2 linked regions of the Xenopus tropicalis genome follow. The main gene of each other region encodes a partner of the protein of the gene in region 2 in a complex. Links are inferred from orthologs where the notes say so. Each region holds a gene or a part of one and is shown on either strand. Other genes may lie near its edges.

The links.
Region 1: cdc45 (region 2) and mcm4 share a complex: the UniProt entries of both Homo sapiens proteins name them as parts of the CMG helicase complex. The link is inferred for Xenopus tropicalis from reciprocal best matches to the Homo sapiens genes CDC45 and MCM4.

What each region holds. Positions count from the first base shown.
Region 1 is NC_030682.2:113,245,269-113,249,093, reverse strand, and holds part of mcm4 (DNA replication licensing factor mcm4), read right to left. Parts: coding exon 3,581-3,825; intron 3,149-3,580; coding exon 2,783-3,148; intron 2,337-2,782; coding exon 2,209-2,336; intron 1,511-2,208; coding exon 1,303-1,510; intron 267-1,302; coding exon 38-266; intron 1-37. UniProt on the Homo sapiens protein: Acts as a component of the MCM2-7 complex (MCM complex) which is the replicative helicase essential for 'once per cell cycle' DNA replication initiation and elongation in eukaryotic cells.
Region 2 is NC_030677.2:154,230,335-154,234,796, reverse strand, and holds the start of cdc45 (cell division control protein 45 homolog), read right to left. Parts: upstream 3,028-4,462; 5' UTR 2,914-3,027; coding exon 2,863-2,913; intron 2,780-2,862; coding exon 2,720-2,779; intron 1-2,719. Other genes in the region: ufd1 (ubiquitin fusion degradation protein 1 homolog), read left to right, coding at 3,260-3,262, 3,634-3,766. UniProt on the Homo sapiens protein: Required for initiation of chromosomal DNA replication. Core component of CDC45-MCM-GINS (CMG) helicase, the molecular machine that unwinds template DNA during replication, and around which the replisome is built.

The sequences.
Region 1 (3,825 bases), on a different chromosome or scaffold from region 2:
TTCCTCAGGTAGGTACAAATATATTTCTTCACTGTACCTGTTGTAAGAATAGATATATCGACAATGCCTGTTCTAGGATCAGTGGCAGACTGTTTCAAAGCCTCGCGATGAAGACGTTTGGCCTCTTCTACATCAATTGTTTCCACCTTGCTAGAAAAGCGTACTTTTGCATGAGCTTCGGATAGACGAATCAGAGACTCAAGTTGCCTAGGATAGGCAGAAACCATTCCACGACCACTGCCAATTTTCCTCATGTCTACATAAGCCTACAAAAAAAATGGAAGAGGAACAACTATAAAATGCTAGAAAAATAAAATTATGGACAAACAGAACAGTAACACTTTGTAAGTTTTTATATCAACTGATCAACACATCCTCCTTTGATCAATGTTTTTTTTTTTTGCTTGACTAAAGGGTAAACAAATTATTGCATGCATGTATAAGTATGTTTTTCCTAAAAAATATATTTTTTTTTTAAAAAAACAAACAATATTTCAATCCTATATTAAACACTATGCAGCATAAAACAGTGGCCTTAAAAAAGCCGTACATATAGGGGCCCCATTTACTAACTTTTTTTCATTTTAGGCATTTATTATGTGATAAAACCACGAAAAACACAAATACAAATCTTCATCTAATATGTGTTTAGGTCATGTAGAAGTCAATGGGAGTTGTCCTCGGCAAATGGTAAATCTTTAAATTGTGGTTTTTTAGGTTTTTTGTTTTCATTTTGCATTTTAATTTGTTCCTACTTTTTCAATTCAGATCTTTTAATAAAGGACAAGCCATTTGTGGTTTTAGTGGAAATAAGCTTATTTTTGGTTTTAAAAACCTAAAACCGCAAAAATAAAAATGTTGATAAATCTGCCCCATAGTATAGACTGCTATTTGCTTTTGCCTTATTTAACTCTAAAAAGTGTAGACTTGAGCCTTTAATAATGGACTCTTGTACTGCCATTTCAAATTTTTTTTTTGGCTGCTTTTCCAGATTGTTTAGCAGGTTTGTATAGTGCAAAGCAATCCTTATGTTGGGAGCAGGCAACCAACAGCTCAGATCTGAGAGGAAATTGCAGTGCACCTTTACCGGTGTAAAGAACAGATCTGCTATTGGCTACCCACAACCTATTATTCTTTTTGGTGTAGGTAAACTAAGATGCCCCCACCACCCATTTTAAACAAACACAAACCAGGATCTATGGGGGAGCTCCAATAAATAAAGGCGACTAAAGTCAATACACTGAACTTAATTATGTTTGTTTGGAGAATGTTTGAGCACATTCGTTTAGGTTATTTATGTACCTCTATTAGAGCTTGACTTGCTTCTTCACCAAGTCTTGGATTGACATAAGTCCGAGCATATGCTATATAATCCTTTAAAACTGCCATGTCCAAATGCTCTTCTTTCATCTGCTCCTCACTCTGGTAGTACAAAGCCACAAGGTGGTGGGCTAGGCGGCGGTCATAGGTTTCATCTTGTGGATCCAGCATCAAAAATATTAGATCAAACCTAAAAGCAGCATTAAGTTAATGACAAGTTAACACAAAAGGTTACATTGCATGATTCCTATTCTGGTCTGCAGATCTAGGGCCGATTTAGGCTCCATCAGTAAAAAGATTTTATATAGGAATCAATGCTTCCACGTGCAAACACTATTAGATTTTTCAAGTATACGGGCAGATTTCCAGCCAGCACTTATACAGTCTAACAATCCACCTTGTAGGGTCTTACCCTTAGCAGCAATACATGTTTCAGCTGGGTTAAAGGAACAGTAACACCAACAAATGAAAGTGTATAAAAGTAACTAAAATATAATGTGCTGCTGCCCTGCACTGGTAAAAGTTGTGTGTTTACTTCAGAAAGTCTACTATAATTTATATAAATAAGCTGCTATGTAGCCATGGAGGCAGCCATTCAAAGGAGAAAAGGCACAGGAATATAGCAGATAACAGATAAAGCACTATTGTATTCTACAGAACTTATCTGTTATCTGCTATGTAACCTGTGGCTTTTCTCCTTTTTTCCCAGCTTGAATGGCTGCCCCCAGGGCTACACAGCAGCTTATTATATAAATTATAGTAGTGTTACTGTAGCAAACACCAATTTTACCAGTGGATTATATTTTTATTACTTTAAAGCTTTCATTTTTTTGTGTTACTGTTCCTTTAAGGGGAAAGAAAAAAAAAAAAAAGAAACAAAGAACACACCTTGATAAGAGCGTATGTGGAAGCTGGATGTTTTCAATAGTGGTTTTCTTGGGATTCCATTGTGACTCCACTGGGTTTGCAGCAGCCAAAACAGATGTACGGGCATTCAGCTGACATATTATTCCGGCCTGCAAGAGAGACCATTTACTTTTAATGTATAAAATGTAAAAATAGTGCCAATTTAAAAAAAAAAAAAAAAAAAAAAAAAAGGCAATATAATAATTTGTGTTTAAAAGCACTTTTACAGGATGGTAAGTGTAGATTTCTATAGAGAACAGTATATTAAACATTTATGCATGGCAACATTGTACACAACACCACAAAACAGCATATGACTGAGCACGATAAGCCAAAGCTTTTTCTTTTTACTAATAACTGTTCACAGTAGTGATTGACAGAGCAGCCCTTAGGTGTCCATGAATAACAGCACTTGGCTCTAAACTAAAAAAGTGAGGTGAGAGAGTTGGGTGTAAAAAAAAAAAAAAAAAAATAGCATGTCTTTAAATACAGAATTATAATGCTACAATGTCAAAAGATATTTGCATGTTTGATTTATATACTTGTTAGACTTTACCTTTGCAATGGAGAGAGTCTGCTGTTCCATTACTTCATGTAGCACAGATCTAGTGCTCTCATTCATTTTGTCAAATTCATCAATGCAGCAAATGCCATTGTCACTGAGAACTAATGCACCTGTCTGCAGTACCAACTGCCGCGTTTCTGGATCCTTCATCACGTATGCGGTTAATCCAACCGCACTAGATCCCTTTCCAGAGGTGTACTGGCCTCTAGGTACCAAATTGTATACATATTGGAGAAGCTGAGATTTACTGGTTCCTGGATCACCACACAGAAGTATGTTTACTTCAGCACGGAATTTGCCTCTTCCGGTATGACTGAAGTCTTTCCGTGTTCCACCAAACAACTGAAGCAAAATTCCCTAAAAAATATAAAAATTTTGTTAAAAAAAAAAAAAAAAAACCTCCTCAAGTATCATTTGAGGTCAAAGTTACTCTGCTGCCTATAAGACATTAATACAGTCTCACACAGCCATAGAACTGAAATACTGCCGGTATAATTTAACTTTTCTTATTCATAGCAATTAATTACACAAGGATTCTCACACACTGTCTTGGGTTCATATATTACAAAACCTCCTTTTTCAAGTGGTGGAACAGCCGCCTCTACCCACTGCATGCAAGTTAAGCAACTTATATAAAAAAACGCTCATGTCATGTGCCTATGTCTTTAGAAGGTGATATTACAAGTTAATATAAAATGCTCAAGAGTATTATGGTTTTATTGACCGCCACCTGATTGTGTGCACCAAAATTATCTCCTAATTTCCCAACCACAAAGACAGAAGTTATACCTTTTTAATATCTTCATGCTCATATATACTTGGTGCAAGAGCTGAAGCAAGCCTCTCATAGATGTCTGGTTTTGCTGCAAGTTCTTTTAACATTGCAACCCTTTCTTCAGTGAACATCTTCTGTTCTGTGTCCTCATCAATACCATGCAACCGCTTTGCATCAGTTTTTCGGTAATGAATAACATCAATGTGAGTTTTGTAAACAGACTTTACATTTCGAACTCTAGGGTTAACTCGAATTGGGA
Region 2 (4,462 bases):
CCTACATTTGCCTACAATATATATCAGGTGGGCACGTCTTCCCCCACCCAAATGGCATAATTTGCACTGCATATATCCCCCTCTGTTTATCAGCACAATTACATTTTTTCTAAAGCAAATAGCAGCTTTCACCCAGTGGCCATTTTTCCTGATACATAATCAAATACATTTATATCTGCAAACATACACACACAGACCCGAATTCAGCATACATTTCATAAAGAATACAGGCTCACACAGGCAGAACTGTCTTCGATAAAAGTTCTGCTTTGTTTAAGCTGAGCTCAGGACAGGAGGTTAGAAGAAAAACATTGAAGCAGACAGCTAGACCTGAGCTTCTATGGGACCCAGAAATGCCATCTCTTCATTGGCTGCTAGACTGGAGAGCGTGTTTGGTAATCGGAGCTTAGAACAACTGAGCATGCCCACAAGCCAGAAGTCAAAGCAAATCTCTGAGGGAGGGGGCTGAGTGGGTTACAGGAGGAGAAGGAAATCTAAGTGATTAATGGGATGCTGCAGCCTTTCTATTAACCTCTGGACAACCAGTGTGACAGGTATTAAAAAAAGATTTCTAAGAGGCTGTTTGTGCGTGGGGTTTACATGTCCTTTAAAGAAAACTCCTAAAACATCAATTAATGTCCATGCATCCAGAATACTTTAAACATTTGTGACTAGTCGTATAATACAAATGATCTTGCACTTGTTTGCCCTTTACTAGTACACCCAGGGTGTATCAAATGATGGGTTTACTTGGTGGGTAATTTGGCCAGCATACACTTAAAATGAGAAAAAAAAAACAAAACTACTTTTTAGACATTTTTAAATTTCTTAAAAATGCTAAATAGTCTACCAGTTCACTAAGAAAAATCAACAGTTTTCAGCCTATATTTAAAGTGCTAAGACTACATATTTTATGCTTTTTTGGTGCTAGATTTTTAAATGGCAGGTACCTTTAATGCATTAAGGAGAGGCATGCACCAAATCCAGGATTTTGGATTATCCTAGCACTGTTTGCAGATTTTTTAATTCCCCTAAACTAAATGGTTATTAAAATCACATGACTTTAAAGAGCTGGTTTGGCCCAAAAAATGGCTCACTACTTCAAGTGCAGGTTATCACTGTCCAGCAGCTGGGCTCTAGAAACCTGGTCTTCATCTTTGATGGGATAGTGTTTCTAGAGCACACTGCCCGATGTTATGATATCAGCCAAGGTGATAGGGCAGTTTGAGTTAAAGGAACAGTAACACCAAAAAATGAAAGTGTATAAAAGTAACTAAAATATAATGTGCTGCTGCCCTGCACTGGTAAAAGTTGTGTGTTTACTTTAGAAAGACTACTATAATTTATATAAATAAGCTGCTATGTAGCCATGGGGGCAGCCATTCAAAGGAGAAAAGGCACAGGCACATAGCAGATAACAGATAAAACACTATTGTATTCTACAGAACTTATCTGTTATCTGCTATGTAACCTGTGCCTTTTCTCCTTTTTTACAGCTTGAATGGCTGCCCCCATGACTACACAGCAGCTTATTATATAAATTATAGTAGTGTTACTGTAGCAAACACACCAGTTTTACCATTGCAGGGCAACAGTGCATTATATTTTTATTACTTTAAAGCTCTTTCATTTTTTAGTGTTACTGTTCCTTTAATAAAGGGGGAAGAATTGGAAAATTTAAGACCAAGCACATTACCACTCTGGACAATTGAATAGAACAAATATTTGTTCACAATTGTTGCAATATTTTGTAAATGTGCTAATAAGGGTTTGGACTAAACTTCTAAGGTGCATTTGACCAAAACCAAAAAATATGACTACGTAGTTATGGTAAAAATAAAAGTTAAATCATAGTATCCACCATTACACAGATGCACTATTTATATGTAGCAAATGCAAAACTTTCACAAGAATTTTACACTATAAAATGTTTTCATTTGGGCAAAAGGCTGGAGATGGAGGAATAATAGAACCAACTTGGGGCAAGTGTTCAGATTTCAGAAATGAAATATTTATCCTTCTTTCTAGGTTTTTCTATCATTGGTAACTTATACTCACTAGTACACTTTACATTGTTTTAGTAACAGTGTTTTAGTAGCAGACCCTAAATGGTTCAAGAGCTGCAACACTGTTGGTACCATGCACATTATCTGGTGGGAAATAAAATAAGTTGTATTTACCGGTACATGGGTCCTCTCCGACTTCATCCCTGATATTTACCTGGCCAACATATTAGGCAGTGTAGAAAAAAAAAAAAACCCATTGGGAAGAGCACCACATACGTATTGATGTGGACCTCTCCCAACAGCCTGCATTAGCAGCCATTATGATCCAATCATTGGTCGAAGGCCTAACAATCAGTGTGGTGCTGTGACATATGGGACAAAGATCCACTCATTTGGCAAACTAGGTGGTATGACCAGCTTTATATGTGGGGATGAAGTGTTTATACTGTCGGATCTGTGCAAGGGGCACTGTGAGTTTAATGGAAACCAGATATGCAGAAATCTCCCATTGTCAATTTTATGCAAAATCTTTTTTTTTAATTACATTTTCTCTGTAATAAAACAGTATCTTGTACTTTACAGCAACTAAGCTGCATAAAAACTTGTTAGTGATAAAGCAATCCTATTGGCTTTATTTCATAGTTACATGTTGTTTTAAGTAGGTATGGTGATTTAAATTGTTGAAAAAAAACTTAATTTTGGTTTGTTCTTACCTGAAGTACCTTACAGGCGCAGAGAGCATCAACATCAGGTGCAACAAGGAGAAGAACGCGCTGGAAATCAGAGAAGAGACAGTGAGTGGTGTCATATCATTTATTTGGGAAAAAAAATCCTTTATCCCGGTTACCCTTCTCACCTCGGTAACGATCACGTCGTAAAACTCTTTACGGAGATCACTCACAAACATCTCGACAAGTTGACGGCTGCCCTCGAAACTGGCGCCAAAATCCCTTAGAGCAGCGGTGGCCAATCAAACAGCCCGTTTCGTCGTGACATACACCAACCCCGCCCAATCCGTGAAGGCTCAGCGCAAGATAAACCCCGCCTCTGCGTCCTACAGTTTAGCAGCCAATTGGTCGCTTCCCGATATCTGACAGCGGTCTATTAACTTCCGCTTTTAGCGTGTTGCTTCTTGGGATTCGTAGTTTCTCTTGTTCCGATCGTCTGATTCGCAATTATATTTACTTCCGGGAAGGACGGTGACTAAGATAGTGTTAGGTCCGCCGGGATAATAAGAGAAAGCCGGTAACAAAATGGTAAGATCTGTCTTCCACATTTGTGATAGCGTCATGTCATGTATACCTATATATCATCATAAAACACCATTTACCTGCCAGGTTTTATGGAGGCTGAACAGTGACTGAGGGGTTAGTTTTTTACTGCTATATGCATCTTGGATGGGAAAGAAGAGTTGTTGTATGTAAGATTTTTTTTACATGAAAAATAACAGTATGATTTTAATCTGAATGTATGTTTCCGTAATAGTTTTTGTTTTTACAGATCACTTAAATAACACTAAAAGGGTAAAAACAAAGTAAAAAAGAATTTCTCAAATTATCACGATGTATCTTTATGTTGCTTAATGAAATAACAGCTCCAAAATCTCACTAATTCCATTCTCTTTTAGTTTTCTTTCAACATGTTTGACCACCCCATACCCCGGGTTTTCCAAAACCGCTTCTCTACTCAGTACCGTTGCTACTCCGTTTCCATGTTGGCGGGTCCCAATGACCGATCTGATGTGGAGAAAGGAGGGAAAAGTAAGTAATATGTGACTAAGAGCTGTACTGTAATTTTTTCAAGATAAAATTATTTAAACATAGGTAATAATATCTAATAATCATAAACTAGACCACTTTTTTGTGGGCCACAAGCAGACTGGGATTTAATATATGCCCTTGCATTTCAAGGCCCCTGCTAGTTCACTAAATAGTGCTTGTCTATGGCATCTAACAGCAGTCCTTTTGGAATTTGCCAGAATCCACACATTGCCAGTCCAGGCCTGGTCACAGGTCATGAGATCTCTGTTATCATCATGTACCATCATGCAAACTGTACAGGATGTGGAAAGTGGACACAATGGTAATTCTTGGCCACACATATCCAGTACAGGTATGTGATCCGTTATCCGGAAACCTGTTATCCAGAAAGCTCTAAATTACGGCAAGGCCCATAGGCTGCATTTTAATTAAATAATTAAAATTTAAGAAAATAATTTCCTTTTTCTCTGTAATAAATCAGTACTTGTACTAAATCCCAACTAGGATATAATCAAACCTTATTAGAGACAAAACAATCCTATTTGGTATATTATGTTTAAATACATTTTGAGCAGACTTAAGGCATGAAGATCCAAATTACACAATGACCGCTTGTACAGGAAAAACCCCTGGTCCTGAGCATTAAGTATTATAGGTTCTATATTATATAAGAGGTTTTCAATCAATTGTTCTGTA